4 linked regions of the Alligator mississippiensis genome follow. The protein of the gene in region 1 interacts with the protein of each later gene in a pairwise test. Links are inferred from orthologs where the notes say so. Each region holds a gene or a part of one and is shown on either strand. Other genes may lie near its edges. The genes, in order: RASSF1, SUV39H2, LATS2 and STK4.

Region 1 (8,158 bases):
CAAGAGTCAGAGCCTGTGGCCAGGTGCTCTCCTCAGTCTGGCCCACTACAGGACCCTCAAGGAGAGGGTGGGGGAGCAGTGAGTGGGGATCTGGAGTGCTAGGGAGGGTGTCGGGGGGTAGTGGGCCTGACCTGGGCCAGTGAGAGAGGGACCCAGGTAGGGTATTTACACTAAGGCTACATCCTCAGTGGCTACACTTTAGTGTAACACCAGCTGCATAGCAGGATCAGAGATAATCCTGTCCTGGAATGGCATAACTTTAAACCACATACCAAGTGCTAAAAACCTAGATGCTTTACTAATATGCAAGGAGGCTATTATTATTATTATTATTATTATTAAGGAGGCTAGACTATATTATTCAGCTTAAGATCAAAGCAAAAAAATACAACTATTGGAGCATGCAATAGTTTGCTAGATTATATACAAAATTAAGAACACACAGACAACAAACCAGGCAAAAATAGTCAAAAGATAGTCTGGAAAAGCGCAGGCTCAGGGGGACCTGGTGACTGCCACACAAGGGGTGTTCATCAGGACCTGGGAGAATGGCTGTTTACCAGAGCGCCCCATGGGAAAACAAGGACCAACGGTTATAAACTCCTGCAAGACCATTTTAGGCTGGACATAAGAAAAACATTCTTTACTATCCGAGCCCCCAAGACCTGGAATAGACTCCTTCCAGATGTGGTGCAGGCACCTACTCTTGACTCATTCAAGAAACACTTGGATGCTTATCTTGCTGCGGTCCTTTGACCCTAGCTGACTTCCTGCCCCTAGGGCAGGGGGCTGGACTTGATGATCTTCAAGGTCCCTTCCAGCCCTAATGTCTATGAAATTTATATTGTGACATTAGTCCTGTAGTCATTCTAGTTACATGTATATCTCATTCAGATTCATAAAATGAAATCTAGCCACCTTGGGCATCTGGATAGTGCCCCAATACTTCACAGTCAATCATGTCTCCACCTAAATTAATATTACCATACCTGAGCTAAGGCTTTTTAGCTAGAGCTAAAAAGTCTACAGGGTTGTGAAACAGAAGAGATTACCAGAAATAACTAACAGACAGCAGCATTACAGAAGAAAGAATAGTTTGACTAGCAGAACATCAAGACCTTTAAAAAGGATAGAGGATTGTTGACACTTGTGGAGTGGAGACAGATTAGCAGGAATCAGGGAGATGATAATGAGACATGAAGTCAATTGACTCTGTCCCCCCAGCCTGAATAGAAATCTTGCTGCCTCTGCCAGGCAGTTGGTTTTAAAATGTGTAGGGACCAGAAATAAAAGAAGAGGAGGGGGGAGATGCAACTGCACCCACCCTGGATCCAGCTCTGCCTGGTGCCAGGGAACAGCTTAACCCAGGGGGTTGCAACCTTTTTAAAGGAGTGTACCCCTTCTAGTGGGTACCCCTTCTGGAGTATACCCCCTTCCAGACGGTGAGGGGGTTGTGCTGATGGCTGGCCAGGGAGCAGGGGGGTGGGATGCTGACAGCACAGCCAACCTGACACAAAGCCAGCAGCGCAGGGAAGCAGTGTGTGGCAAAGGCACAGAATGGTGAATGGTGGTAGTGGGGGGTGAGGAAGTGACACACGGTGGCTGCTGCCACCATTCACCACTCTGTGCCGCCACTACATGCCACTTCCCTGTGTCGCCATGCATACTCCCTGGGGCTGTCTCAAGTATCCCCAAGGGTATGCGTACCCCTGGTTGACAATCCCTGGCTTAACTCATGCAATCAGCCCCCAAAGCTAGTTTGTGCTGGGCGGTGTCCCAAAGTCTCCTGACTTCCCATTCCCAGGGGCTCTGGGCTGATTCCTAACTGAGGAAGCTCCTTAGATTTCCCTCTCAGACAACCCTCAGAAGAGCAACAAGACACCAAGGCAGGACTCAGAGGGCTCAACATCCCAAATCTGACTGGCTACATCTCTGCTGTGGGGCAGGGACACAGGGACCCCAGCCAGCAGCAGGCCCTGGTCAGGCCTTTCTCAAGCACCCTCCCTACCTGCTCTCTCCTGCAGGCTCCACACCCAGAACTGCACCAGGATGCTGTCCTGGGGCATCCCCCACAGTCACCTGCAGCCCCACCATCTCCTGCACACTTGAAAGCAGCTGTGGGGCTGACTCGGAGCAGCCTCACTGCTGCATTTTTGGGTCCGGAGCAGAGTGTGCTCAGTGACCCTGTGAGGACAGACTTCTGTCATGCTGGAGATATACACAGTGCATGACCAGGACCTGCTCACACCGGAGACCTGGAGCCTCCTGCATGGGCCAGAGCCCAAACCTAGCTGTGCGGCCGGAGTGCTGGGCTTGTCTCAGGGCAGCCTCACTGGCAGGGCATGGTGAGCTGGAGGCAGCACTGGACTCTCTCCGTGGCATTTCCAAGGGGCCCGTTGCTGGATGGGTGCATGGTCAAGCACAAGGGCAAACGGGGTGCTTCTCCCTACAGGGCCTCAGTGACCTTCCCAGTCCCCTTCCCCTGCCCATCAACAAGACTCCTTTGATGCCCTTTTACATTTGAATTGAAACTGCTCTGCCGGCAAGTGCAAGGCCAGGGTGCTCCTGAAGCGCCGCCAACAGAGAGGGGCACTACTTGTGTGCAAGCCCGGCGGGTGCAGGGCAGAGGGCAAGGGGGAAACTGCTGTGGCTTGCTCTGGCCACAGGCTCAGGCGTGTCCAGTCCCCAGCCCGCTGGTACCAACCCGTGCAGCCGGGCAGTCCCTGGCGTGGTGCCGCCGCCGCCGCCTGACCCCTCGCGCGGCAGTGGCACCCGGGGCCCAGCTGCTGCCTGCAGGAGGTGCCGGCCACGGGGACAGCGCAGGGCGTCGCTGCGCGGCTCTGGGGGGAAGGAAGCTGCGCCCCCGGCCCGGCCCGGCCCGGCAAGGTACTCACGGCCGCACTGCAGGCTCCTGCTGCGGACGCCCCAGATGAAGTCCCCGCACAGGTCGCACCAGGCGTGGTGGCCGCGGGCGCGGGGCCGGAAGGCGTGACCCTGGCCCTGGCCCTGGCCCTGGTCCTGGCCCGGGACGGCCCGGGCGTGCCGCACGCGGCCGAGCAGCTCGGGCATCCGGCCCGGGGCGATGCGCAGCGCGTTGGCCCGCTCCAGCCGCCCCCCGCGAGCCGGCGCCAGGTCCTGCAGCTCGATCATCTCCTGCTGCCCCCCGCGCGCCGCCCGCGCCATCCCCGGGCACCCGGGCCGGTCCTGCGCCGGGGCTGCGAGGGCCGCCCGGTCCCCGCTCCTTCGCTCCGCGCCTCACTTTCCCCTCCCCGGCGGCCCGCGGGGGCTGGCCCGGCCGCAGCAGGAGTGGGCGGCCGCCTCCCCCGGCCCTAGGAGCCGCCCCGAGGGCAGGCAGGGCTGCGGGGCAGGGGCGTCGCCGAGGCCGCGGCGGCCCGCGAGGAGCCCCCGTCCCGGCACCTGGGGCGGCTCCTCCGAGTCCCGTCACGCTCCCGCCCGTCCCCTCGGCGGCGGCGCCCCGCCGTCCCGCCCGCCTCCCCGCCCCCTTCTGCCGCCCGCGCTGGAGCCTCGCGTGGGTCGGGCCAGCCCGGAGCCGGGAGCTCCCACGCCCGGGCTGCCCGTCCCGGGGCAGAGCCGGGGGTGCCGCTCCAGCGACCAGAGGCTGCCGCGGCCCATTGGCACGGGTGTCCCCGCAGGAGAGGAAGGCACCTCGGGGCTTGGCAGCCGCCCGTGAGACCCGGCTTTGCTGAGGGGGGAGGACAACCCTCGCTACTGGTGCCATGGCATTAGCCTCTTCCTGCCACAGCACAGCCTGGCAAGGAATGGGGCTGGAGCCATTTTCGTTTTTCACCCCAAAGAATAAGGCCTCACTTTCTTCTTCACAGACATCTTCCCCCTTCCCGGATGGGTCCAACCAGGGTGGAAGGAAGTGGCTTCCCTGTGGAGCAAGGAGCAGGCAGCCATCTGCAGAGCTCACTCCCACCAGCGGTGCCCCACAGGGCAGAGCCTGTAGCTAGGCAAAGGGGCTGCTGCTGGTGCCTTGTGAGTCCCCCCACACCGCACTCGCAGCCTGTGGCACCAGGAATGCATCTTTTCTCCTTCCTCGCTTCCTACCAGCCCTGCCTCATCAGCAACTGCTACTCTCTACACTCCTGGTAGGATGCCTGGCTCCAGCCACGGCTTTTAATACCCAGCTCCAAGCCAGGCAGCTGCCTGGGAATTCAACAGCCACGCTTGCACCAGTCTCCCAAGAAATGGGGCCAGACCCAATGTGGACAGAAGCAGGCAACAAAGGACATATGGTGGCCCAGGCTTATGCCATGAAGGAGGTGAAATCAAGTAGAGCTGAGAGAGGCCACTTGCCATCAGCAGGTCAAAGCACATAGCTAAGAGACTTGTAGAAATGGCACCGTCCATGGCTCAAGGGAGGGAGTAGCAGGGTGTTATGGGTGGGTTGGCTCATTAAGAGGAGCTGGGCTTTGCTTCACCTACGAGTCATCACAAGGGGAAGGCTTTCCACCTGGGGTACATCAGAGCCTAGAAGAGCTCAGTTGCCAGTGGGAGCTTCCCCTCAGGGCACAGGGGGAAGATCCCCTCAGGCATGTGGCCTGTGGAACACAGCATTGCAAGAACCAGAGACACTTGCCTTAACCCCCAAAGAGATGCTTTGTACTGTGCAATCCTGCAAGAGACCCCACTCACAGAGAAGGGATCTGTTTGATGTGTGGAACATGGCTAGTGGAAAAAAAATCTGAAGCCCTAATGAAAAGTAGTTGGGGGGTGGATCCCCAACTGACATGGGACTTCACCGCCATGGGTGGTGAGCTCACAAGGCTGTTGTTAGGCTACCTCCTCCTCTTCCAATGGCAGTTGAGCTTGGCTGATTAGCTCCTCTTCACTCCTCTTCCTTATCTCCATGAATCTCCAAAACAACCAGTAAGAGGCTGGGCTCAGTCCACTGCAATGCCTATCAGCACCCCGAGGGGTGAACAGGGACCATCCCACCAAGGCTGGAAGTATCTCATTGACACACTCATGCACTGACAGACTCCACCTCTTCATTGGGGTGACTCTTGGTGCTAGTGCCATACTCAAACAATGGCCTTGCAGCTGGCAGCATCTTGAGATCCCCAAAATGTCAAGGGGTTTGCCTCAGTCCTTGGCCTTCTCTGAGCTGCTCAAGGCTAGTTGGCTTGGGATGACTGAGACACTGAGGATAATGCTCCTCCTCTTCCTCATTCCAGGGTGTCCTTCATCTGCAGAGAGCACCTCACGGACCCATCTCCCCACACAATGACAACATATAGATGAGAGGAAAGCAACAGGGTCTCCAGAGAGCTTACAGACATCAGACTTCATCCTCTACATTAGCATTAGATGCTTCATTCTGACCCAATTCCTGTTTGCTGATTCTCAGCCCCTCTGCCCTTGCAGAGAGGAGCATCCCCAGCCCCCTGGGCCTATTATCTGCAGAGCAGCAGCAGCAGCTGTGCAATGGCTGGGGTAGCCCAAGATGGAACTTGTCCCATAAAGACACTGGCTGAGTGCAAGCAGCTCCAGCCACTCCATATGTTGGAGTTTATTCAGGGTCCTCTGGCCAGCCTCACAAATCCTGTGGCTGCCACAGCTGCCAAGAAGCCCAGTCAGCTGGCAGCCAGTCCCGTTTGTTGCTGGTGGTCACCATGGTATTGCAGTTAAAAACCTGCACACAATCAGCTGCAAAGCTTGACCAGCTCACTGTCTGGTTTCAATGGAAAAAAATAGAATCAGAGCAATGGGTGGGCCTAACCAAGGAAAAGAGAGCTCCTTGGGGGCATGGCTCCTGCTGGCACTGAAATACAAGATGAATAGATCAAAAATATCCAGGACGGGCTCAAACTGAACTGGATTTTTTTTTACTCTAAGGACAAGCCATTTCCTGGGAGTGAGAGTTGCCAGGAAGCATTAACAGGGTAGCTGGTCAAAGCAGGGGACACTGAAATAAGCAGTGATTTTCCTGTCACCATCTCTTCTCCTCTTGGGCTGACCCAGTACTTCCAGATCTTGGAAAACTTATTTTCCCCTAACCACCTGCTGGCTTGATAGTGCTATTGGCAATCAGGAACAATAGTTTTCCTCTTGCATCAGAACAGATCAATAATTCAGCTGAGCAGTCATCCAGTCTACAAGTGTGGTCAATGTTGGGTGTTCTAAAGGAGGATGTAAAAACCTCACCAAAGGCAGACAACCTGCCCACCTGCATAGGGAGAACAGTGGTGAACATGTTGCTCTAAATCAGGGGCAGGCAATTATTTCGGGTGGAAGGCCACTTACTGAGTTTTGGCAAGCCACATGACAGGCAGCTAGGGGCAGATAAATATTAATTTTCTAAATTTTTAGGGGCCCCGTGGGCTGGATAGAATGGCCTGGAGGGCTGCATCTGGCCCATAGGTCACATTTTGCCCACCCCTGCTCTAGATGCTACGATAGATTCAGGGTCACTTCATGGAAGTTAGTAGAGGTACTGGTCTAGTGTAGGTGTGGAGTAATTCTGTTAATTTCACTGGGAGACTCCAAATTTACACAGGGTAGATGAGATCGGACTCCACTTTTCTGCCCTTTGGGCTTACTCCCTTCCTCCAACATAGTGGCTAATCTGTTTAATCTGTTTGTCTTTTACCATGGGGGCAGATCACACTAGCAAACCCTATATTCTAAATGTGCTTATCCCTACCTCTCTGAGGAGGACTTATGCCAACTGGACATAGACCCATATCCTGTCATACCACAGCTCTGGGAAGAGGCTAGGTTCTTCCTTACTCTCCAGTTTAGATTGTGCACCCAGAAGCCATGAAAATTCCCCGTTACCCTGCTCCCACAGTTGCAGGGAGGGTTCACTGGCTGGCCTCCTGTCACCCTAGGGAGTTTGGGGTAAGGCAGGCCAAGCTCTGATTATTTTCTAAAGCCCAGCCCAGCCCAGCCCAGCCCTGCAGTCCCAGTCACAGCTCAGAGAATGATTCAGGTAAAGTAGCAATATCCCCGCTCCTGCATGGAGTCAGCATCCTGTTGGAGTCTGCTCTCAGCTCGAGCTCTTGAATGCCCCTAGTTGATTTCTAGACAGAGGCTCTATTGCAAAAGAGACCCAGGCCCAGCATGTGCTGTGATGTTCTTTCACAGCTGGCGAGACAGAGAAAGGATCCTCACACTAGTGCCAGAAATGCAAGGGTCATTCCCTGCTATGGATCTCTAAGTAATCAGGAAGGGACACAGAAGGAACATTGACTGATGCCCTCTGACTTTGCAACCTCCCAGGTTCCTGACACCAAAGCAGGGGAAGAACAAACCCAAGAAAAGCATTTGCTATGAGTAACCAGTTAAAACACTTTCAACTTACCAGAACTAAGGTAGTTCTGGTGTAGCCTGAACTCCCTAGGAAAGCAGACCCTTCCTGCTGCCTTGTCTTCTCCTCACAACTCTTTTCAGATCAGAATTCTCCACCAGAATTTATGAACTGGTGGCTCCAGCCTACTTTATGGACACTATTCACCAATGCAGAGCTTTTGCCTAGGCCCAAAAGGTGGCTTCTTGCTGAGATGGGTCTAGTGGCTGGAGGACACCCCTGGGAGATAGCTCAGCTTTTCCATGAATCTTCCTTCTGTGATCTGGGACAAGACACTTCCCCTCTCCATGCTTCACTTTCTCCCACTTTCAAATAGGTCTGGTGATACTGACCTAACCCATGGAGATCAGTTGCAGTACTGACTATGGACATTAGCCACTTACCCAACTTGGGCAATTCAGGGCAGTGTCTGAAAAGTCATTTGTCTTTTATTGGCCAAGACGACATTACCAAACACTGCCAAACAGCTACAGGACAACATTGTCAAACACTGACACTTAAGGGCATACACCTTTGCTGTCTTGAAAAAGGTTCAATGAAAGGAAGCTGCAACAGGAGTGGAGAGTCCTGGGTTCTGATCCTAGGCCTCCCACCAATTGAGTGTGCAACCCTGGGCACATCACTTGTCTTCCCTTCACCTCTGCCTTCTCCTTCTGTCCAGCATGATGGTAATCCCCTACTTTCTTTAAAGTATTGTGTGATCCTCTGCAAAAAGTACCTGGGTGAACACTGAGCATTGTTCTTGCCTGGAAGGGTGCCAAGCAGCATAGCTATACAATAAATCCTCTCTTCTTATCAATTTCCATTTCATATCCACCTTCC
Region 2 (7,896 bases), on another chromosome or scaffold:
ATGAAACTATGAAAGCAGTCTTAGACTGAATGATTATCTAAATTACCTGTTTGTCCTCTGTTAAGTAATTTATTTTAAAAAATGTACACTTGAGAAGGCCCTGAAAAGGAAGATGCACAGAGACGAGGGCAAGGAGACGGACAGGCAGGCAGGACCAGAGCAGTCTAAGGGAGAACTGCTGAGGCTGTTTTGTCCCAAGAAGTTAGCTTTGCTTTTTCCCCCCACAACGGATGTAGTTGAGTCAATAAAAGGTACCACCAAACATATCTTGTGCAACACCCCAGCCCTACTATTTCCTGCATAGACCCATTAGGCTTCAGGGAAGAAGAAATCTGCTAGTTGTGTTTTTAAGAGCGCTGTCTGCTTTGCTGCTTGGGACTGGTTGGGCTCTGAAACCTCAAAAAAGGTACAGTCCTCCTCCAGGAGCTGAATCAGCTTCTGGGGTACCACAGATGGAGGAGTGAGGTGAGCAGGTGGGCACAAGGATCAAAAGGCTGGGGATCAAGAGTCCAAGGAGTCAGAGGCTCACCCGCTCTAGCTCTGTCTGGGCTTCTGAGAATATTTAAAGAGAATATATAAAGCTAGGGGTCTTAAGCAAGTGGTCCCTTGGGGATTGTGACAGCTAGGATGACATGTGTAAATGTGTTAGACAAAGAGGAAGGAGTAATTGATGTGTTAGGACCAATTTATGTGCTAAGACCAGGTGCAGAGATGAAAAGAGACAGATCTTCCCCTGGAATTTTAAATCTTGCTTAATTAACACATTCCAAGGCCCACTGCAAAACTAGATGGTTTTGGTTCTTTGGTGTCCTGGAACAAAGAAACCTCTCAGATGTCCTCTTTTATTTTCCTAGATTGTACAATTTAGGCTCTTAAATGATCACTGGCAACACATTTGTGCAGGCTTGTTATTGTGATGCCAGAGAGAAGGTAAAAGTGAAGTAAGAAAGCTTTGATGTATTTTGTACTTAACTTTGTTTAGCATAATGGTTAGCTTTCTTAGAAAAGGACTTTATTCATATCTGGCTTATCTGAACAGTCTGATTTGTTTGGAAGAAACTGAATGACAAAGGGGGAAATTGGGCAGATATGATTTGATTCATAGAATCATAGAGAAGTCAGGCTGGAAGGGACCTCCAGAGGTCATCTGGTCCAGCCCCTGCCTAAGGCAGGATCATTCCTATCCAATTGTGGCAGGGCACTGCATCTCCTGCCACTTTAGGTCAGGCAGCCTGCTGAGCCACTGGCAGGTGAGGGTCAGGGCAGATTGCAGTCAGCTGCCCCAGGGGGCTGGCAGGTGAGGCTAGGCCTGATCAAAGGAGTCACTTGACTGAAGAGTCACCTGCTTGGAGGAGATGACTCTCCTCAATCAAGGCTTAGATGGGGTATAAGCCTAGATCCTGAAAGCAGGGCTGGCAGTAAGGCACATCACCCAGCCGGAGGGCTGCCGCTAGTGAGGAGAATGATATCTGGAGGTTTGGATAGGAACTAAGGGGATGGAGGAGGCTCCTGGGGACCCAGTGTGGGATTCAGAGTCCTGAAAAGGGGCTGAGTGCATAGGGACCTGTGGAGAGGCTGGATGAGCCTAGAGAGAGAAAGGGGCAGAGTGCATGGGGGCTTGTTGAGAGGCCAGAGGAACCCAGAGAAAGTAGCTGAGTGCCTGTGGCCTGTTGAGGAGGGCTTGACAAACCCAGAGAGGAGCTGTGTGCACAGGGGCTTTGTGAGAGGCCCAAAGGAAGCGGGTATGTAGAAAGACCTATGGAGGGCTCTGAACTTGCAGAGAGAGCAATGCATGGAGGGACCCGAGAATGGACCCACAGAGAGGAGAGGGCTGGCAGCTAAAGGACTGACCCTGGGAACTTCAACTAGCCTATGCTGGGGCCAGGGCCCAGGAGTGGCCCAAGGGTGAGAGAGCCCACCAGGAAAGCTGGCTAGAGCTGGGAGCCTGGAGCCTCAGCTGACCCAGAGACAGGGCCAGGGCCTAGGAGAGGCACAAAGGTCCTTGTGGAGACCACAGCTAAGAAGCCATCAGGGAGTGTGTAGCCCAGTATGACGATGGCTGGTAGGGCTCCACGAGTGAGATGGGGCCAGAGATAGAGGACTTAGAGGAGAGATGAAGCTAGGGCCAGGGAGCCCAGTACCTAGCAGCCTAGGAGGGATGCTGGACATCTAGGGGAAGCCCAGAGAGAGATGAGTATGATCAGGTAGGCCTGAAGCTGGTCCTTGGTAAGACCTAAAACTGCACCATCAAGGCATGGCAGAAAAGATGGGAGGCACCTCAGGGATGGAAGGGGGCACGGCTGTGGAGCCTCCAGGGGAACGTCACAGCCACCCCTGGGATGCGACCCTTTTACAAGAATCCATAATCTAAGCTCTACAAAAGACCAGTGTCAGCCCTGACACAACATGCCTAACACCCTAACTTGCCAAGGGTAAAGCAGGGGAATCAGGCAGACAAGGTCCTGTTTCTATGAAATGTCCTTACATACTCAGGGGATCCTGTGTAGACGGCAAACCCCCCCACAGTGGGTGTGCCTACATGTACATATGAATGTGACATAATAAACTCTGGCACTTACCATACCGGAGTTTATTGTTCCTGGGCACTGCGTTTACGTGTGTGTCTGGGATCGCAGAACGTTAAACTGGGTCAGAGTAGCCCTGGCTGGCAGGGAACCCAAGGTATCAGCCTGACAGCCTGGGGCTTGTTCTGACCCTGCATCACATGCCGTGGAGGGGCTGGCTGGGGCACGAGGGTGCGCCAGTGCAGGGCTAGCTGGCAGGCAGCCCCTGTACTAAAGCACCTTTATGCCTCAGCCAGCCAGGTCAGAGTCTATACATGCGCTGCTATGCACAAAATACCTCCACAGCAGAACTGTACTTGTATTTACAAATACTAACTTGCTGCAAAGTTTATTAGTTTCCTGGGGCCTAAAAGGGCTGCACATGCAGACAGCTGTTTCTGTGGAGCTAATTAGGCAACTCCACAGTAAACCTCTTGTATAGATGTGCCCAGTCTGTATCAATCTGACCATGGGGATTAACCTAGGGTTACCATATTTCCAGTTGCAAAAAAGACCCTGGGGGGGGGGGGGTGAAATTCAGTTGTCAGGGGGCAGTGATATGCCTGTGCCCTGCATCTGCCCCTCACTCCTAAGCCACAGCCCACCCCCCTTGCAATTCACTCCCAACCCCCAGACCATGCTGGTACCCCTCATTCCCAACCCATACCCCCCATACCCATAGATGATGTGTAGGGGGGTCATGAGGGCATGTGCCCCCACCTGAGATTGGCCACTGCTGAAGCTGCTGCTGGCTTCTGTGGGTGGTTGCTGCCCCCGCACCGCTGCCGATGCGGCCGCCTGCAGACCCCGCTCGCTGCTTGTCCCTCCTCCCCTTCTCCTGCTGCTGGCAGTGGCTGCGGGCGGTCCCTGCTCGCTGCCATGGTGCACCCCCCAGTCGCAGGATCATGCCCCATGATCCTAACCCATAGTCCCCTGCCTCCATGGTGCCCACAAGCCACAGCCCCCACAGTGCCCTTAACTCCCAACCCACAGCCCCTGCCTGCACGCCCCTCACCCTGCTGGTGCTCCTTGCTCTCGACATGCAGGATCTCCCCAGCCCTGCTGGTTCCCCTCACTCCCAACCCACAGCCCCGTTCCCCCCAGCCCTGCTGCCCCCCCCAAAACCCCCACCCCTTCCCCTGCTGGAGGGGCAGACACCTCCCCTGCCTTCCTGCTCTGCTGAAGCCCCAGTGCCAGCAGGCACCCAGCCTGTCACACACCGAGACCCAGACACAGATGGTCTCCAGCCCTGGCCCTTTCCCTTCAACCCCTGCCCACTACAGACTTACTTGCCTGCAGCTGCCGGGGCTCACACAGGTCTGTGATGCCCCTGCATCCAATTGCCCTCTCCCCCAGTTCTCCCCAGCCCCAAGCAGCTCCTTGCTGGGGCAAGCCAGGAAGTGCCAAGGAAAACTTGGATGCTGAGCAGAGGCAGAGCAAAATCTTGGACATTTGCTGATATTTTAAAAAACCACCTGAAAGGGAGATGGGAGGACGTGTCTGAGAAAACCCAGACGTAGGGCAACCCTAACGAACCAGTGTGGATGGAGTCTCTTTGGTGTGCAGCACACTGCCAGATTCAAGGAGCTGCTGTGCAGCACACTTCTGCAATTTGAGTTGGCCCCTACATAGAGGATAACCTAGAGAAAAGCCTGTTACAAACATGGGTTCAGGGCACTGGCCATCCCAGATCCCGGGATGCTTTCAGGTTTTTAGAGCCGGTTCACCTTGTGCAACTGATCCTGTTGATTTACTAATAAAGGCATCATCAAAGCCCTTCATTTCTAAAGAAATAACCTGCTCTGGGAGGACCCTGCCATCCAAGGCCTAACCCTGCAAGCAGCAGTGTACGCGCAGGGCAGGAAACAAAGAGAAACCAGCTCCGGCCCGGCCGCGCCGCCACGCGCAGAAAAGGCGGGAAGCGCCGTGGCGGGAAGGAAGGGGGGGCGGGGGCGGGGCTGGGGAGGTGCTGCGCGCATGCGCGTGCGCGGAGGGGCGGGGCCGAGCCGGGCGGGCGGGACTGCCAAGATGGAGGGCTGGCGCGGAGGTGAGCGCGGTGCGGTGCGGCCGCTACGGAAGGGCCCGGTCCGACCCGACCCGACCCGACCCCCACCACCCTCGTGCCCGGGGACGGGGCCGCTCCGCCGCCGGCAGCGGGCCCTGAGGGCGGGGGCGGGGCGTGTGCCCGCCGGGAGCCGCCCGCGAGCGGGGCCTGCGGCTGCGCGGGACGCTTCAATGGGGGGGAGGGGCTACACAGAGCGCTTCAGAGGAGGGAGAGGGGCTGGATAGAGCGCTTTAATGGGCAGGACAGAGCGCTTTAAAGGGTGGGAGAGGGGCTGCAGGGCAGAGGACTTTAGAGGGGGGGAGGGGGCAGGACAGCACTTTAAAGGAGGGGGAGGGACTGCACAGAGATCTTTAATGGGCAGGACAAAGTGCTTTACAGGGTGGGGGAGGGGCTGGGTAGAGCGCTTTAAAGGGCTGTACAGGGTGGGGGATGGGGCAGGACAGAGTGCTTAATGTGGGGGGCAGGACAGCCCTGTAACGGGTGGGGGAGGGGGGCTGCATAGAGCGCGTTAAAGGGCTGGGTAGAGTGCTTAATGGGTGGGGGGACAGGACAGAGCGCTTGAAGGACTTAGGAGCAGGGAGCTGTGCCCAGGATCACCTGCAGGGCGGAGGTGCGGTAGGCAGCCGGGCTCAGTGGCACCCAGGATCATCTGCAGGGCGGAGGTGCGGTAGGCAGCCGGGCTCTTGTCGCTGTGGTTGTCCAGAAACGAGCACACGTACAAAGCCGAGGTGCACAGAGGGGGTGGCTGGCGACTTGGCTTTAGGCTTGCTGGAGCGGCGCTCGGACCCCCTGACCCTTGCTGCCTCCTGGGCTGCCTGACCAAGGGCTGCTGGACGCGCTGAGGGAGGTTGTGGGCCGAGGCTCACCCAGAAACTAGAAGCCTCCTTTGAGAAGGGAGGCCAGTAAAGACGTAGCAACAGAGTTCTTGGGAGAAATCGCATGGAAACAGGGAAGGGAGCGAGGCTCAGAGGTTCGTGTGGAGGGAAGCTCTCGGATCACTTCGGCCAGCACTCGCTGCCCCCTGAGCAAGTTGAGGGAGCCTGTGGGTGCTGTCCGGTAAAGCTGCCCAGAGACGAGCGAAGGAGTGAAGTGGAAGACAGTCCCGCGTTCGTCCCGGTTCTCCCCAGCCAGATCCTTCCTGGGCTGGTGGATGTGTGACACGGGATACCAGGCAAGATGGACCTATGGTCTGATCCAGTAAATAGCAGTTCTTACATTCTTCAGTCTGGGGGTTTGGGAGAAAGTGAACACAAGTCATCTGCTGAATTTTTTTTTTCAACTCAGCTAAGGCATGAAATGGGTAAAGAATCCTATTTTCTTATTGTAGCTTGGTATGTGCCATGTCTAGCTGCACATGAGACCCTCCAGGAATTATGTAGGAAGGAGAATCTCACATGTAAATCCATTGGAATCGCCAACAGGAATCTAAAGAGTTATGAGGTGGAATATTTGTGTGGCTACAAGGTAGAAGAGGTAAGATAAATGTCTGGTCTTATTTAGCACTTTGATGAATGCATCAGTAGCAATTTGGAAGGGGAAAGAGAGTTTTCCCTAAGGTGGACAGTAGTAGGTGAGGACAGGCCTCTGGTCAGGCACCTATTGATATTGAACCAAAACCCCAATGGTGTTTCTTGAGCTTCTGAAGTTGTATGGAAGGAAGGTTCTGCTTTTCATAATGGAGCATGACATGATTGAAATGAAAGCTCTCTTGTTGATTTTATTTTATTCGCAAGTAAAGGACCATGACTTGTTGGTACCATAGTCACTTTGAACAGCTAGGGCCAGCTGCTGTACCTGGATCAGCATGGCCAGAGCACTGCTGAAGTCACTGAGGAAACTTGCGGTTACGAGAGCCTGCTTACGTGACTCCAGTTTCAGGATCTGGCCCATTTTAAAACAATTTAAAGTTCTTATGTTATATACAACCCAAGTTCATGAGACTTAAGTGTTTTGGACATATCATTCCTTTAGGATGATGTATGTAACTATGACAAATAGTGCTGTTTGAGGGTTGTTTGGTAAGTTAAGACTTATTTTGTTCTTTTGTGATTTTACTTTATTCCATTCATATACCAAAGTTAGTAAATATAACCTTTACTAGAGCTGCTTTAGCAAATTAACCCTGTACTGGTTTCGTGGAAATAGTTTTTAGTTTGTTTTCTTTTTTCCCCAGCTGTATAGTTATTTTTGTGCCTCACTTGCAGTGATAGAGTACATGGTACCTCATATGAAATGCATGATTTTTCCATTGCTGATTAGCATAATTTTTTCTATGCATTTATGCCACCTCCTTAACTTTGTGTTTAATTTTATGTACTATGGATGTGATAGCGAAGTATTTGCGTCACTGAACAAGCCCACTTTTTTTAAGTATTGAATTTTGCTGAGCTGTTACAAGTTTAGACATAACGCTTCTATTATTTTGTATTTCAAGGGCACAGAATACTACCTTGTGAAGTGGAAAGGATGGCCAGAATCCACAAATACCTGGGAACCTTTGGAAAATCTTAAATGCCCATTGCTCCTCCAAAACTTTCATAATGATCAGAATGAATATTTATCTCGAGCAAAGCAAGGGAAGGCACTAATAATGAGAAAACATGGCAAGGCTTTGAAACCTGCAGTAGTAGATTACATTGTAAAGAAAGCTAAACAAAGAGTAGCTCTACAGAGATGGAAAGAAGAACTCAACAGGAAGAAGAACCATAAAGGGATGATTCTTGTAGAAAACACTGTGGATCTTGAGGGTCCTCCTTTAGACTTTTACTACATTAATGAATATAAGCCTGCTCCAGGAATAAATGTGATCAATGGAATCACAACTGGCTGTGAATGCTCTGATTGCCCTGCTGAGAAATGTTGTCCCAAGGAGGCTGGATGTCTTTTGGCTTACAATAAATATAGGCAGTTAAAAATCCAACCGGGTTTGCCCATCTATGAGTGCAACTCATTCTGTAGATGTGGTCCTGATTGTCCTAACAGGATAGTACAGAAAGGCACACCTTACTCTCTTTGCATCTTCAGAACTAACAATGGCCGTGGCTGGGGAGTAAAAACCCTCCAGAAAATTAAAACAAACAGTTTTGTGATGGAATATGTTGGAGAGGTATGTATTTATCTCATGTAGATGAATTATGGAGTAAAAGTGTTATTATTTCAGAAGAGGGACTTTTTAATAATTGTTTTTTTAATTGTTTTGCTCTTCATGATTCTGCCATGTAGTAAGTCAGTATGCTTTAACAGTTAAAGGAATACACTGAAAAAATG
Region 3 (8,110 bases), on another chromosome or scaffold:
ACCTGCTCCTGCCATCCTTTTCATGTCCTCTGCTACCCAAGAACAAGTGCTGGAAGGAGGTCTCTCTCCACCACTGTTGCTGTCCCCTGTTGATGCAGGTGGCTCTTAGCCGGTGGGAACACCTTGGGGGTTGTGGGGGGAGCAGGCACTAGAAAAGGAATCTGCATGCTGCCACTGCTGCCCTGGCTGAGCCCAGCTCCCTGTGCAGCTGCTCCCCACAACCCCCAGCTGGAGGGGGCAGGAGCATAGATTCATAGATTCATAGATGTTAGGGTTGGAAGGGACCTCAATAGATCATTGAGTCCGACCCCCTGCATAGGCAGGAAAGAGTGCTGGGTTCAGATGACCCTAGCCAGATGCCTATCTAACCTCCTCTTGAAGACCTCCAGGGTAGGGGAGAGCATCACCTCCCTTGGGAGCCCATTCCAGACTTTGGCCACTCTAACTGTGAAGAAGTTCTTCCTAATGTCCAGTCTAAATCTGCTCTCTGCTAGCTTATGGCCATTATTTCTTGTAACCCCCAGGGGCGCCTTGGTGAGAAGAGCCTCACCAATTCCCTTCTGCACCCCCATGATGAATTTATAGGCAGCCACAAGGTCGCCTCTCAACCTTCTCTTGCGGAGGCTGAAGAGGTCCAGGTGCCCTAGTCTCTCCTCATAGGGCTTGGCTTGCAAGCCCTTAACCATACAAGTGGCCTTTCTCTGGACCTTCTCTAGGTTATCCACATCCCTCTTAAAGTGTGGCGCCCAAAACTGGACGCAGTATTTCAACTGCGGTCTGACCAGCGCCCGATAGAGGGGAAGTATCACCTCCTTGATTCTGTTTGTTATGCATCTGCTGATGCATGATAAAGTGCCATTAGCTTTGCTGATGACTTCATCACACTGCCGACTCATGTTCATCTTGGAGTCCACTAGGACTCTGAGATCCCTTTCTGCTTCCGTGCTGCCAAGCAGGTCATTCCCTAGGCAGTAGGTGTGCTGGACATTTTTCCTCCCTAGGTGCAGAACTTTGCATTTCTCCTTGTTAAATCTCATTCTGTTGTTTTCTGCCCATTTGTCCAACCTGTCCAGGTCTGCCTGTAGCTGTTCCCTGCCCTCTGGTGTGTCCACTTCTCCACACAGTTTTGTATCATCTGCAAACTTGGACAGAGTACACTTCACTCCCTCGTCCAAGTCACTGATGAATACATTGAAGAGTATCAGTCCAAGGACCGAGCCCTTCAGGACCCCACTGCCCACGTCCTTCCAGGTCAATACCAACCCACCCACCACCCTGGGCAGGGTTCTGGGACTCCCTGTCCACCACCCTGAGCAATTCTGGGGCTCCCCCCCGGGTCAGCTGGGAATAGTGCTGGCAGGAGAGTCCCAATTTTGTATTTTTACTCCCTGCCTGGCTCCCTAGTGTCCCCCACTGGCCCAGGTGCTCCAGCCATGCCTCACTCCGATCCCCTCACCATCTGAAATGTGGTATGCCACACTCCTCATCATGAAATCCTGGAACCACCCATGCCTGAAGTCAATGGAGTTTTACTAACACTTCCTAGGCACTTTAAAAATCTGCCAACAAGGAACTAAGCATGACCAGTAAGACTATCAATAAGTTGCCTACCTCAATCTCTCACCAGTTAAATTCTTGCCACCAAATGTACCATCATCTTAGAAACAGAAGAAAAAAGAGCAGTGCTGCCATTGGACGATATAAATGTGCCCATGCACACACACATATGAAGAAAAGCAATCAGTGTGGCAATTATTGAGAAGTCTCCTCACCCATGTCCAAGAAACATTATGAAATTAAGATGGCAGGACAAAGTTCCAAATACTGGAGTGAGCAAATATGTGAAGCACAGGTGGCATGATTATAAAAGCACAGTCAAGATGGTCTGGCCATATAATCAGGATATCTTTAAATTAGCTTATTAAGAAATGCTTTATGCAGCACTGTGCTGTGGTAGATGTTGATGTGGTCCGATTTGTAGAAGATAAAGGATCTTCTAAAATGACCCTTCAGTCAAGGCAGTATTGATGTCTGAAGCTGGGAACAAAAGGCTTATGAATATGTTGCAGTGTTGTCCATGATGCTGGAAATGACTACGAATAGACACATCAAGAATGCAGCGGCAAAATCCAAAGTTTCAGGTTCAGGATCAGCCCTGCTAGTCTGCAGTATCCACCACTGTCTATTTGGTCTGTGACTACGTTGCAGACAAAAATCTTATTTTGCCACCCAAGAGTGCATCTCTGAATGCTTTTGTCAGAAGATGAAATGTGGTCATCATCAGCTACTGAAAATGATAATGATGAGTCCTCCTTATGCTGCAGAGGGACTATTTACATAAATAAGATCTACAAAATCAGGCCCGTCATTACTTCAGGACTTCCCCAGAAAGGTCCATTTTTTTCTCCTCACATGGTAGAGTTATATTAAAAGAGGACTACTCCCAATACTTATCTAGTTGGTTTCTAAGGATTTAACTGAGAATTCCCCTTCATGTATCCAGTTTCATGTACATCCTCAGTTTCATGTACAGCCTCAGATACATTACTGCACATTTTCAGTGTGTAAGTGCATGTGACTCTGATGTAGAACAATAGGGCCATGGTTAGTCCCACACACACCATACCAGACATTTTCCTCTTAGTTGCTACTCCAGGGCAGCAGGTTTTTAGACAAGGGTTTAATCTACTATCATTTATGGCACTGCACACCAACTTTCTTATTGCAACTAAAACTGCTGATAAATACACCTACTCTTGTCAAGCTACAACCATAATAATTGACATATACACAGCTTTATTTAGTATTGTACTGTTATACTGTGATTCACTAGACCCTAAAGAATGTGAAGACAATGCAATATGCTACATAACAAAAATTGATGTCATGTGAGCCATTCTACTTTTCTTGCTTTTAAAGATTGTGAGGAACTTGCAAAACTCTGTTCCTAAAATTATTCATTTTCATGTGGCAAGCATTGTAACCTTTGTGGCTCAATGTGCAAGTCTGCTCTATAACTATACTTTGCCTACAAGGTCATTACATGTCCACAATCTTCTCATATCTCTACACCACATTTGACCATTTTGTTCCACATGCTTGTGCTCAATTTATTATACTTTTTTTTCCAAGATCTTACATTGTACATGTGCCTTCAAGCAGTGGGCACTGCAGCAGGTGTTGCATAGTCTGAGGCTCTGTGCCACAGTCACAGGTGGTTGAACTAATGGTATAGCCCCACTTCTTCATTCATTTCTTGGAGCGTCCAACTCCATTGTGTAGGCGGTTGAGACATTGCTACCTTTGCCGTGGCTCATCGGCCCCTGGTGGTAAAGATGTAGACACCAGAATATCCATTTTTTCGCTTGCAGGTATATTTTCAGCTTCTTGTTTCATATCCATAGTCATGTCTCCTTGAGTGTGGCATCAAGAGGTTGGGTGCTGGTAAGAAAGCTCCTGTATGACTTCAGTCACTTGTGTGCTGTGGGATAGTTGTACAGCGGGTGTCTTACATCTTCAGACTGTCTCAATTTTTCTATCCTGCTGGCCACTGTTCTTCTGATGTTAGGTGGAGTGATGTCAGCCAACAGATACACACTATTTAGGCCCACAATGTAATAGCTGTTACAAAATACCTGGGAAGTGTTAAAATATGCTATGTAAAACCACATTTTCTAACTGCTGCTCCATGTATATTGCAATACCTGTTAACTATTTTGTCTTAAAGAAAGGAAATGCCTTGTGCTGAGAATTTATATTATGTGATGTTTTAACTCAAAATGAAATAACAGTTCTTTTATGACAACCCACCTCCTTCAAGATGCACTGCACAATAGAAATGGGGACATCACCCTAACAAAAGTGACAGGCATAGTTCTAGTAAAACCAAATGTCCTGGAATCATAAAATAGAGCAAGAGAAAGTAGGAACTTAGATGCTGGTTTTTTTGAAAGAGTGAATTGCATCTTTTCAGCTGTTGACTGAAAAGGAATTCTTTATCTGGCATACTGAGTGATAACTACTATAATTTGACACACACAAATGGGTTTTGCATCCAGTACATTCTGGCCCATTAAAATCAAAGTTTGGCCATTGACTTCAGGGAGGGTAGTTTTCACCCTTCATTCTCTTTCAGTGCAATGTCAGCATTATACAGGTCATTTGTGAACAAATGTAAAACTCACATAAAATCTAAAGCAAGTTCTTTCTGACCAACATAATTGACCTGCTATTCATATGGATCCTGGGGAATAACAGATTCCAAATACATCTCATCTAGAAAGTTTGGATGTGGATGCAAATGTCTAGTAAATGGAGATATTTCAAACTGCCTTACAAGTACACTGGTCTCTTTTTCACATGCTGCCCATAAGTAAAAGGCTGTGCATCTTAGAAACAAATTAATCAATTGCAGAACAATCTGCAGGAAACTGTTGTAAACAAGCTGAAAGGAAATCTTTTATTACAGATGGCTTTAGCAGGTACAGCTTTGGTTTAATAAAACTTTATTGGACTGGCTTAGGCTTTGTAACCCCCATTGCAAAAATAAGATTAATTCAAATATACTTTAATCAAGCCCTCAAAAATTTGGATTACTCATGAACAAGCCTTGTTGTCACAGCCATAATGATGTGCATTCAATACCATGCTGCCTTGCTTAATGGGATCTGTCAAATAAGAGAAAATGTCCCTGCTAAATCAAAGACAAAATACAAACATCTCCAACTGATATATTTGAAAGCCTATCATTCAATGGAGTGGGATGTTAGGATTTCCTGATACATATATGTGGAAGTTGATCAGATGAGCAATTTGCATATTACTAAGTGTTGCACTGGAATGGAATGCCCTTTGCAGAGAAGTGAATTCCTTTGGGAGTTTGGTAGGTGGCGCTAAAGCCTGCACCAGTACTGCCATGCTAACGCCGTGGTTATCAACAACCAGTTCTGCACTCCGGATAATTTCTTGCACTAAACAGATAGTTCAGCTGTTGCTCTCTCCTAATTAAAGCAAATAACATGTTTCCCTCTCTTCCCCTCCCCCCACACCCCCCAAAAAAGATTCTGCTGTTTCCTGGAAGAGTCTTCAGTTCTCCATGACATAAAGAAAAACTGCTGGAATTTGGTCCTGCTGCTGACAAGGTAAAAATGTCAGGGATCTGAAGCAGAGGTACCGTTTTGATATGTTGTGCCAGTAGTTATAATTTACATCTAATCAATTACAAGCCTCTGGTGACAATATTTCCTTGTTCTAAGAATAGATCTTGAAAGTATTTTAAGAATTCTGGTTGTCATGCAATTAATAGCGCGCTTTGTTCTGAGTATAAAGATTTACTTGTTTGGAGCAGTAACCGTATTTTGCATGTAAAAAAGGGGAACGGGAGGGTTTTATTGCCAGCACTTCTCCTTACAGAGGGATGAATCACTTGCATTCTTGGCAGCCAAGCGCAAATTCACAAGAATGCTCAGTTTGATCAACTTCCTCCAAAACACTAAGCTTAAAGTAAAGAGGAGAAAAGAGAGTGAGAAGCTTGGATGGGCCCATATACAGAAGACATTACAAGATGGACATCTAAGCATGAAGACAATAAATCTAGTGTACAAACTGTTTTGCCCAAAGCAAGTCACTTGCTGTTACAGGAGTAGCCAGACTAAATTAAGTGAATAATACTGAAAAGAAAAAACAAAGCTGGAAAGAGCCAGAGGGGGAACACTCCAAAATGGGCAGAAATGTGGGATGTAGTGTCAAAAATTAGTTCAGTACAATTTAACAGTTTTATGTAGAGAATGCAAAGTTTCAGCAAAAAACCTCACCTTCCTTCCCCTATAATAATGGAAGATTGCATCAAAGATCCTAAGACTAAGAAACTCAAAATATATGAATGGGCTTAGTTAGGTGTAAAGAAATTCTTTCTTTCTTTCTTCCTTGTTGCTGGCTTTTGTTCCCTCACCCCAACACTCTGCCAGAATCCCATTTCTACATGTGGTACATGGGAGGTGTGTGGGAGTGGAGACACTAGCATTGTATCATTAACTGCATAGCAATTCCTTTGAGAGAGCTGTGGGGTCACCACTCCCAGTGGGAGTCAGAGCCTCAGACATGGATGCACCTGAACTGGTTGCCAGGACATGTTGTGTTTTCCCTATCTTTGTGGTGGTTTAGGAACAGATTAGACAAACATCTGTCAAGGCTGGCCTAAGTATATCTGATCCTGGATTAGAGCCGGGGGATGGATGAGATGACCCCTTGAAGTTCCTTCATTTCTATGATTCTATAGATCTCTGCAAGAAAGGGTTGTTTTGAGGGAGATGTTCATTATGGGTTTCCTTGCACGGCAAAGTGACAAATTATATTGCATGGCAGACATAGGAGCCGGTTGTAAATAAGGTTTCCCAGATCTGGCCGTGCCAGCCCCACCTGCAGCTCCCACTGACTTTGAAGGGGTTTGAAGAGTGATCTTCCCCCTCTATGCGGCACTGGTCAGGCCGCAGTTGGAGTACTTACTGCATCCAGTTCTGGGTGCCGCACTTCAGGAGGGATGTGGACAGCATTGAGAGGGTCCAGAGGAGTGCCACTCACATGATCAGGGGGCAGCAGGGCAGACCCTACAAGGAGAGGCTAAGGGACCTGAACCTGTTCAGCCTCCACAAGCGAAGGCTGAGAGGGGATCTAGTGGCCTGTTACAAACTAGTCAGAGGGGACCAGCAGGCATCAGGGGAGTCCCTGTTCCCCCGAGCACTACCAGGAGTGACTAGAAATAACAGTCACAAGCTGGCAGAGGGTAGATTCAGACTAGACATCAGGAGGCGCTACTTCACAGTCAGGGCGGCTAGGATCTGGAACCAACTTCCAAGCTAAGTGGTGCTGGCTCCTACCCTGAGGGTCTTTAAGAGGAGGTTAGACGAACACCTTGCTGGGGTCATTTGACCCCAGTACTTTTTCCTGCCATGGCGGGGGGTCGGACTTGATGATCTGCTCAGGTCCCTTCCAACCCTACCAACTATGAAACTATGAAACTATGACTTGAATAAAGAATAGGAGGAGCCAGTTCTTTCTTTTCTCTGCATACTCAGCTGAGGTGAAATGATATGCAAGTGATCTAAGGAAGGAAGCAGTTTCCACTGGTGCCATCTTGCTATTCCCACTGCCTTATGTTTCATCAGATTCATAATTTGAGTTTCACAGTTTGAGGCTGTGTCTTGTAACATGCAGATTGGACCCCATTCCTGGCCAGCTTTAGGAATCTTTGCTTTGGCTCCTGCAGCTGACTCCTTTAGTAACAGGAGAAATTCTCAGAAACAAATGGTCAGAGTTCCGCTGCAGCAAAGTGTCTGCTGCTCAGGGGAGGTGGCCAGCTCGGAGACAGGATGCCGGCTGAATAACCCTCCATTCCTGAAGAGGGTGGTCCCTAAAGGTCAGGGTTGGCTTCAATGGGGTGGCAGTGTAAGAGGAAGTTGGCTCAGAGGGTGCTTTCATAAGGCTTGAACTATGAATAAATTCAGTCTCTTGTATTCTCCATTCCCAAGTATTAGTCACTCAGAAATATGAATAGGAAAATAAGGTTAGTGAGAACAATCCTGTTACTGGGCATTTATTATGTATTTCTTTCTTTTGTCTCAGACAGGGGACTTTGTGCAATAGATAAGGCCTCTTGTTGCTGCTTGAGGGGAATATGTACATGTCAGCTGTGCTAGGAGCAGAAATTTAAGTGTGTCCCAACGTAAGGCGCATAGGCAAGGCATATAGGCAGCCATCAGCTCTCTGACATCACAGCAAATCGTTTATATTGTAAATTATGACCCTGCCTTATACATTAAATGCTCTCCTTGGCACAGTGAAAAACTCTCAAGGAATTTATACTTGCACCAGGCATTGTACAGGTTCATATTTGGGTGAGCCTGCCCAACCAGGCCCATCCACAGCAACACCACCTGGTGCATGTGTGTGAAGATGAGGCAGAAGGTAGATCAGCTAAGATACTGGACTAAAAAATACTGGGCTGCTATACCTCTGACTCATGCCAGGAGTGAATTGAACCCAGTGTATCTCCATGTTGTACTTATTTGGAGGGGTTTGTTTTGAATGATCAAAACTCCTCTGGACAAGACTT
Region 4 (7,573 bases), on another chromosome or scaffold:
CAAATGAAGATGTAGAGCTGTGGCAAGGTTTAGGTACCTGTCATTAATCGTGGACCTTGTTGAGTCAAGCCTACTGCAGTCATATTTACTCATATTTATCCTGTAAGAATGGGGAGGGGGCAAATATTGAATCATGACCACTTATCATTCATTAGCTGCTCAAGAATAAACAGTGTGCAAAATGCTTGAAAGTGTGAACAGTCAAGTGTATCATTTACCAGCTAGAAGGGAGGGAAGTAGCATAAAGGGCACAGAGAGCTGCAGGGCTGACAGCAAACAACACTAACACTAAAGAATTCACAGCATAGGGGTAGAAGATGAATGGGTTTCTGCTATTTAACCAGAATCCAAAGTCACCCAACCTGTCCATGAGCAACCATCCTAAAAGCAGGGCTGTGAGTGACCCAGGCTGCTGCCTGTATTGTCAAGCCTCCATTTTGGCTTGTGTAACAGTATAAACTTAGAAGTTACCTGTTGACACCATCATGTGCAGCCTGTACAGTGCAGTCAATCTGCAATACAGTCTTGTAGTCCACATAGGCTAGCTGGTATCTCTCAAGAGCCTCATAGGCTGCTGCCCGCCTCAACAGAGGTTTGATTCCAAAAGGAACAAGGTCCAGTGCACTGTATCAGGGGGAGGAAGCAAGAGAGGTCACTGGGCCACCTGAGTTAAGTTCAGCAGAGAGGAGAAGGTTGGTGTACTTGATGGACTGGGGGTTTGTCAGGTATCAGCTTTTCATGACTAAGTTTTAAAGGCACAACCTTGAAACTACAGAATTGCACCTTGGAAATATTTGCTTGACAGGGAATGATCCTGCAGAAGTGAATGGGGAACTTCTGCATCTCTCAGGTGTGCAGTGTTGTAGCCAGGGGACAAAGGAAGAAAGATATTAATTCTATCTCCCAGTGACAGTCACTTTTTTCTCAGAATAAACAAAACCAAAAGCAGGAAAGTATGCTGGGACAAGGGCTATGGACACAGGTTGCAGTTCAGCTGTGCTACAGAACAACTAAAGATGTAGAGCTGTGGAAAGGTTTAGGTAGGGAATGATCCTGCAGGAGTGAGTAGGGAATGGAAGGCCAATTCAACAGTATTAAAAAATTAAAAAATAAAAGTAATGTATACATGGTTAGCAAGGAAGAGAGGCCTTTGTACTGCTTCAAGCAAATGAATTTGACATCTTCTCCCCACCTTGTTTAAATGACACCAACAACAAAAGGCCAAGCAAAATGCTTCGCCCATATGTGTTTTGCTATGGGTGGCTGACCAATGCCAGTGTTTGGGATGGAGGCTACTATATGGTTCCCTAAAGGTACTTAACTTTTCCTCCCAATAGTCTTAAATGAAAGGCCCAGTTGGTAACCACACACTATCTTATTTCATTCACAACAAAAACACGGTTTAGGTTTTCATCTGGGTAACAGCTACTTACACAGTACAGTCCTTAACACAGAGGCTACAATTCCCATCCTTCAGATAGCAGGCAGCTCGATTTGAATGGAGGACACTCATTTCCTCAGCATCCTTCTCCCCTAGGAGCAGAAACAAAAACAGAAGATAAATTCAAGGTGGGAAATGTGGGACAATATATTCAGTGCATGCTATGGCCAATTCCTGTATTAGATGTTTCTACTTACACCAGAAAAGGGGTACTAAAAATAAGATGGATCTCACAGATATTGAAGTATGGCTCAAGAGAGCCATTTGGAAGCTCAACTGCTAAAGTTACTGATCAGTACCAGCAATAAAGCTCATCTTTCATCTTCAAAGCATCAGGTACTTAATTGTCAGTCTCCCCAAAGAAGCAAACAATGATCATCCCGATGTGGATCAGATCTAGGCTTAAGAGTTCAGAAGATCCCAGTCTCTAGTTTCCCGGTTCATAATTCTGTCTTTTTCATTGCTGCAGCTGGTAGTGACAGCACTCAACAGCAGAACACATGAGCCTGTAGAAGGTTTAAAAAGAAAAGCCCCTAGCAACTTTATGATGGAACAAGTTTGGGACCTTGGCAGCCACATCTGGGTTTATGTTGTGCTGTGGGGCCATGGCTGGATTGTGATTTTTTTTTAATTATTATAATTTTCCAAGATTTTTTATAATTTTTATAATTCCAAGCCAAATTTATAATTTTCTGAACATTTTTATAATTCCAAGCCAAATTTGCCAAAACAAATTCCAAATTCGAGAGTCAGTCCAGAACCATAGGTGCCCCTACTACTGGCAAACATCTTCCACCCCCATCTGGGTCTTCAGATGTTCCCGAATCCTTTGGTGGGCATCCTACTTGCAGGCCCAAGCCAGGAGTTTGGATGCCTCCAAGTTTTGCTTGCCCTTAGCCATAAGGCCCCAGAAGCAAGCTAGGGAGGAGTCTCCCATTTCCATAAGGTGGGCATAAAGCCAGGGTTAACTATGTATTAACTATGCAGATACTGTTCCATGCCAGCAGAGCGGTCTTCCCCAGGTGCAACTAGGAAGCCACCAGGGTGATCATCAGGGCTGTGTGAAGCTTTGGGTAGTGATTCTATCTGGAGGAGATTTGGCCCGATTCAGCGGCCGAATCTCAGAATCCGAATCAAATCAGGGGACCAATTTAAAGGTCTGAATCGACTCAAAGCTCTCCAAATCTTCGGAAAAGCTTTGGAAAGCTTTGATGACTTGGGCAGTCCCCAGTGGCTGCAGCAGGGAGCTGCAGTTGACTGTGAACTGGTAAGTACTAGGGGCAGGGGAAGAGGGGCTGGCTGGGGGAGGGGACCATGGAGGGGACCCTGGTCAGCCCCCCCCCACCATGGCTGCTCCCGCCCACCCCAGCTCCCAGTACTTTAAAAAAAATAAAATAGCCCCGGTGCTCACTGGGTGCTGCTGAGCAGGGGGGGTCCAAACCTGCTGCCCCCCCCACTGCCCCACGGGGGGCTCTGTACAAGCCCCCCGACCCCCCCCACGGGTGCCTCACCTGGGCCAGCTCCAGCCCTTTAAGAAAAAAAAAAAAAACTTGAGAAAAGCCCCAGACTCACTGCTCCTGCAGCAGCTGGGGGGTCTTGCGCAGAGTCCCCCGCATGGTGTGGGGATTGCCCCCCCCAGCAGCCAGTCCCAGGGTTGTTTCCATTTTTTTTTCCTTAAAGGGCCAGAGCTGGCCCGTGAGGTGCACACATGGGAAGGGGCTGGAGGAGTGAGGGGGAGGGTCAGGGGGGTGGGGGGGTCATGCAGAGACATGCAGCATGCCCCCATGCAGCGAGGGGCAGCAGGGATCACCCCCCACCCAGGAACACCTGGTGATCCAGGGCTTTTTATTTATTTTTTTACTAGTGCTGGGAGCTGGGGCAGCCATTGCCACCTGGGAGAGGGGTTGGGGATGGGCCTGGCCTGGCTGATTCAGAAATTTGGCTGCTGCCGACTCTCCGAATCAGATTTGGCGGAATCTAATCGGGACAGCGATTCGAATCATTTAATCAAATCACTGTCCCCCAAATGGGCCAAATCCGAAGCGAATACCAGCCGTTTCACACAGGCCTAGTGATCATGGCATTTCCCCTGCCAGGCAAGTTAGGACTGTGCTTGATCCGGGCCGACAAGAGGCCGAGGAGCCTGGGCTCTGCATATAAGGCAACAACCCGCACTGTGGCAAGGAGGCTGCCGCTCCCCGCGGGTCCAGCCGGCCAAACGCGCGTTACCTCCGCAATGACGAGAGCAGGTCACCCGCTGGCTGCCCTCCACCGCGCGGCACTATTTTTAAACTGGGCCACCGAAGGCGCGGGGGGAGTCGGCAGAGCCGCGCTGCTGCGAGGGGCCCTGCTCTAGCAGCTCTGCCCCGCCCTGGCGCGCCCCGGGAGGACGGACGGGCCAGGGGGCCGCACCTGGCAGGAACCGCGCGGGGGGGCTCAGCTCACAGCCGCGCGGTGTCCCGCGGAGGGGTCCCCTGCCTGCCCCAGGCTCGGCGGGAGGCAGAGGGCGAGCCGGGCCCTCCTCTCGCCCCTACCTGCTGCCTCGAGCAGCGCCAGCGCACGGCTGTAGAGCGCAGCCGCCTGCCCGTACTGCCCGCTGCGGAACTGCTCGTTGCCGGCGCTGCGCAGCGCCGCGACCCGCGGCTCGGGGGCCATGGGGCCGGCAGGCGCAGTCGGGCGTCGGCTGCTCCCCGGGGGCTCCGGGCGCCGCTTCCTGCCGGCTCCTAGCCGGGGCGGGGCAGCTCCGCCGGCTTCTGCTCGGCCCCGCCCCTGCCCCTGCCCCTGCCCCGCCCCCGGGGGCAGGGTCTCGCGACAGCGGGGCGGGGAAAGGCCGGGCCCGGCTCCCTGCTGGGGCGGGGCGGGGCAGGGCTAGAAACTAGGCGCATCTTTTACGCGGCGGGGCTGGCTGGACACCGCGCGTGCAGGAGCCTGGCCTGACGCGCGCGACGAGTCACACCCGCCCATGAGGAGGGCGCGACGCATTCTGGGAAACTGCCTCGGGCTGGGGGCGGTCCCGCGGCCTGGCCGCGCCCCTCTGCCGCAGGAGGCGCGGAGCCCCGCCCTCTCCGCGAGACCACGTGACTGCCGTTCGGCCCCGCCCCACGCTTCCGGCGTGTGGGGGCGGAGGAGGCGGAAGCGGAGCGGAAGCCGCGCGGAGCCGGTGGAGCGGGAGGTAGAGGAGGCACCGTGGCCATGGCCATAGCGGAGTGAGCGCGTCTCCCGCCGTCGCCCGCACGGGCCCGCCGCGCCATGGAGACCGTACAGCTGCGCAACCCGCGCCGGTGAGGAGAGGCGAGGCGAGGCGGGGGCGGGCCGGCGGACCCGGTTGTCATGGGGACTCGCGGCTCCGAGCGCCCGGGGTGGCAGCACCTCCGCCGGGGCCGGGGGCGGCCCCACGCCCCACCGCGGGGTAGTCGCGGCTGCTGCGACTTAGTTGCGTATTGACGCGTGTCCGATCTCGCCCGAATTAATCAGCCCCGAATTAAATAGGTCGTTTGTTTGTAGCCGGAGGAGTCGCTCCCCTGCTGGCTGGGGATTTTGGTCGTGGGTTCCACCCTTCTTCAAACCATCCTCGCAGGTGTATTGTTGTTATGTGGGGTTAGGGGAGCCGGGCTTGTCACGCAGGAGCCGTGTCCAGCCTGTAACCGGACTTATTTCAGAAAGCAAGGCGCCGGGTGAAGCAAGAAAGGCCTCGGGGCCCTGTCAGGTTACTTGTTCTTGCTTGAATAACAACACCGAGTCACCGTTACCGAATGCAAGTATGGCAAGGAACGGGAGTCTTGGCAACGTAACTGCCAATCATGGAAACGAGAGCTGTGCTTTTGTAGTCGTGATGTTTAAGACACCTCTGCCTTAGCATGATCAAAGAGGCATTGTTGAAGTGCTGAATTCCCACAGCTCTTCACAGAATAAGAGTCATTTGCTCTCTGGGGGTTGCCAGTCTAAATAGGTATCGGGAACTCGAGGAAATGTTCCAGCTTAACCTGCCTTTTTATGTAAGGCAACAGGAAAATCCAAAACCTTTGGTATTCAAGGCACTGAAAAAAAAAGGGAGTAAAAGGAGGGGAAATCTGGTCATTGCTGTAAGTCCAAATAAAGACCTAATGTTGTCTTCTTAATAATACCCTTTTTCTCTGAAACCCAGTAGGTACAGCTAAGATGACTGAGGTAGCGTCTTCACAATTTTCCTTTCTGTGCAAGGAGCATCAGTTAGTTAATAGAATATATTGCTTAGAGTTGCAACTAAAATATTTCATGGAGGAAAGCAAAACTTGTGGGATTTCCTTGTTGCTGATGCACTTATTCCATTTATATGGTGTGGAATATATTTGTTAGTCATAAGTAAATCCGTCTGGAGTTCTGAATGCCCTGTAATTACTTCTAGGTCTCCAAGCACTAAGTCTGGCAAGTGATGATAGCTAAGGGAACTCGCATTTCCTTATAGCAGAATATTTGGAGGGCTTTATCTTCATCTGTGCACGTGCACTGTATCATAGATCCTATGACAATTATGTTTTCTTTGACATTTGGGAAAGTTCACTTCCCGGTGATTTTAGAAGTCAAGCTGGTGACCCTTTAAAATACCTTAGAAATATTTCGGGGTATTTTGGGGTAGCAGTTGTTGTGATAACCTTGTGTATCTCTTGCAAAACTGCACAAAGCTCTTTTTTTAGGTGAGATCTATCATGTTCTCTCTGCGTTCTGCCAATGTTCCTGTCTATTTTAAGGTTCAATGATCTCTGACTATGGATGAGAGCAGTGGAGCCTAGACAGAGCAATTCACAACCAGATGATTTAAGTAGCCAAGAGGAAGAAATGGATCAACTGATGTGTAATTTATTCTGTTGCAACCTTTGGCTCATATTGTTCACAAGCAAAACCGGAAGCTGATGGGAAATAATGGGGGGTGTCAAACCTTCTCTAAAGAACCCCTGAAAGTGTAGAAGTATGAAAAGTTGCCAGCAATATGAATCTGTTCATTTTTTCCCTCTAATTGTAGATTGAGTTAATATTGGGAGTTAATCTTAAAAGTCTAATTAAGAGGACTTTTGAATGACAGACAACATGCTAGTATAACTAGGTCTGAAACCTTGCTAGATCATGAAAAACTAATGACTTAAAATCTTCCATTTTTCAATAGGAGATTCATTCTGTACTCTTAAAAAAAACAAAAAAACCCCCCAACTTTTCCTTTTAGGACTGACTGAGACATGTCAAATCAGATGTTAAATTTCTTTTTAATTAGTTTGGGAAAGGCCTAGGGCATATTTAGTCTAAGGAAGTAGAATTTTGATTTTTGGAAGTCACTTGTGTCTTCCCTTTTAATTAAAGTTACTCATCAACAAAGGCCACTATTTATTACATGTGTATTAAGGGGGGGCGGGGAATGAAATGATTTATTTTCTAATCTCCTAGTTATTCCATTTAGCAGTTAAAAGTGCAAGCTAGCAGTGACAGGATGTTTATCCTTTGAAGCTCAGTTCAATGCCTTGTATACTGTTGCTAACATTCCTTAATGTTCGCTCTTACTTTTTTCTGATAAGTAACATCTGTTGGGTGTGCAGGCAGTGTCAGTTTGGGATTTCAAAGACATGTGAACCAAGCTGTTAGTAGCCTATCATTTCACTGCAGACTGTTGTTGAACAACTCTGGACAGAGGATAATTTGGAAGCACTTCAGCAATTGAATGAAGTTTCAGTCTGTCAGAACACTATCGGTGGTGTGCAGCTGTTTCTAACTGTATGTTTGAGAGATGAGCAGAAGAGGCAGTTTCCTTTGTTTTGTGACAGATAGCAGCTGGCTTTCTTTTCTTTTCTTTTTTTTGTTCTAGTTTAACTGACAAGGGAGCAAAATATCTGCTGTTAGTAATGTGTTTAGTTTACCTATAATTTAGTATATAATTGTCTATATGGAAGTTTAACTATACCTGACCCAGATTAGATGTGAACACTCCAGAAAGCAAAATTGTTTTTGTTTCCATCTTAACCCTCTATAAAAAGGTATGCTGTAAAAGACAGGGTGTCCTAGATAATTTGGATCACTCCTGATTCAGGCTCATTAGATGCTGAAAGAATACCATTGAATTTCTGAATATGTTCAGGAACAGGGAAGCTTAGTGTCACTTGAAATAGG

The links.
Region 2: the proteins of RASSF1 (region 1) and SUV39H2 interact in a two-hybrid assay, tested with the Homo sapiens proteins (2 studies listed by BioGRID and IntAct). The link is inferred for Alligator mississippiensis from reciprocal best matches to the Homo sapiens genes RASSF1 and SUV39H2.
Region 3: the proteins of RASSF1 (region 1) and LATS2 come close enough for resonance energy transfer, tested with the Homo sapiens proteins (2 studies listed by BioGRID). The link is inferred for Alligator mississippiensis from reciprocal best matches to the Homo sapiens genes RASSF1 and LATS2.
Region 4: the proteins of RASSF1 (region 1) and STK4 interact in binary tests that used the Homo sapiens proteins (3 or more experiments, as listed by UniProt). The link is inferred for Alligator mississippiensis from reciprocal best matches to the Homo sapiens genes RASSF1 and STK4.

What each region holds. Positions count from the first base shown.
Region 1 is NC_081835.1:43,829,517-43,837,674, forward strand, and holds the start of RASSF1 (ras association domain-containing protein 1), read right to left. Parts: upstream 3,415-8,158; 5' UTR 3,184-3,414; coding exon 2,895-3,183; intron 1-2,894. UniProt on the Homo sapiens protein: Potential tumor suppressor. Required for death receptor-dependent apoptosis. Mediates activation of STK3/MST2 and STK4/MST1 during Fas-induced apoptosis by preventing their dephosphorylation.
Region 2 is NC_081827.1:15,549,235-15,557,130, forward strand, and holds the start of SUV39H2 (histone-lysine N-methyltransferase SUV39H2), read left to right. Parts: upstream 1-4,568; 5' UTR 4,569-4,592; coding exon 4,593-4,611; intron 4,612-5,956; coding exon 5,957-6,102; intron 6,103-7,063; coding exon 7,064-7,735; intron 7,736-7,896. UniProt on the Homo sapiens protein: Histone methyltransferase that specifically trimethylates 'Lys-9' of histone H3 using monomethylated H3 'Lys-9' as substrate.
Region 3 is NC_081824.1:433,393,395-433,401,504, forward strand, and holds the start of LATS2 (serine/threonine-protein kinase LATS2), read left to right. Parts: upstream 1-5,017; 5' UTR 5,018-5,141; intron 5,142-8,110. UniProt on the Homo sapiens protein: Negative regulator of YAP1 in the Hippo signaling pathway that plays a pivotal role in organ size control and tumor suppression by restricting proliferation and promoting apoptosis.
Region 4 is NC_081832.1:16,838,555-16,846,127, forward strand, and holds the start of STK4 (serine/threonine-protein kinase 4), read left to right. Parts: upstream 1-4,478; 5' UTR 4,479-4,690; coding exon 4,691-4,722; intron 4,723-7,573. Other genes in the region: TOMM34 (mitochondrial import receptor subunit TOM34), read right to left, coding at 472-624, 1,434-1,533, 3,976-4,096. UniProt on the Homo sapiens protein: Stress-activated, pro-apoptotic kinase which, following caspase-cleavage, enters the nucleus and induces chromatin condensation followed by internucleosomal DNA fragmentation.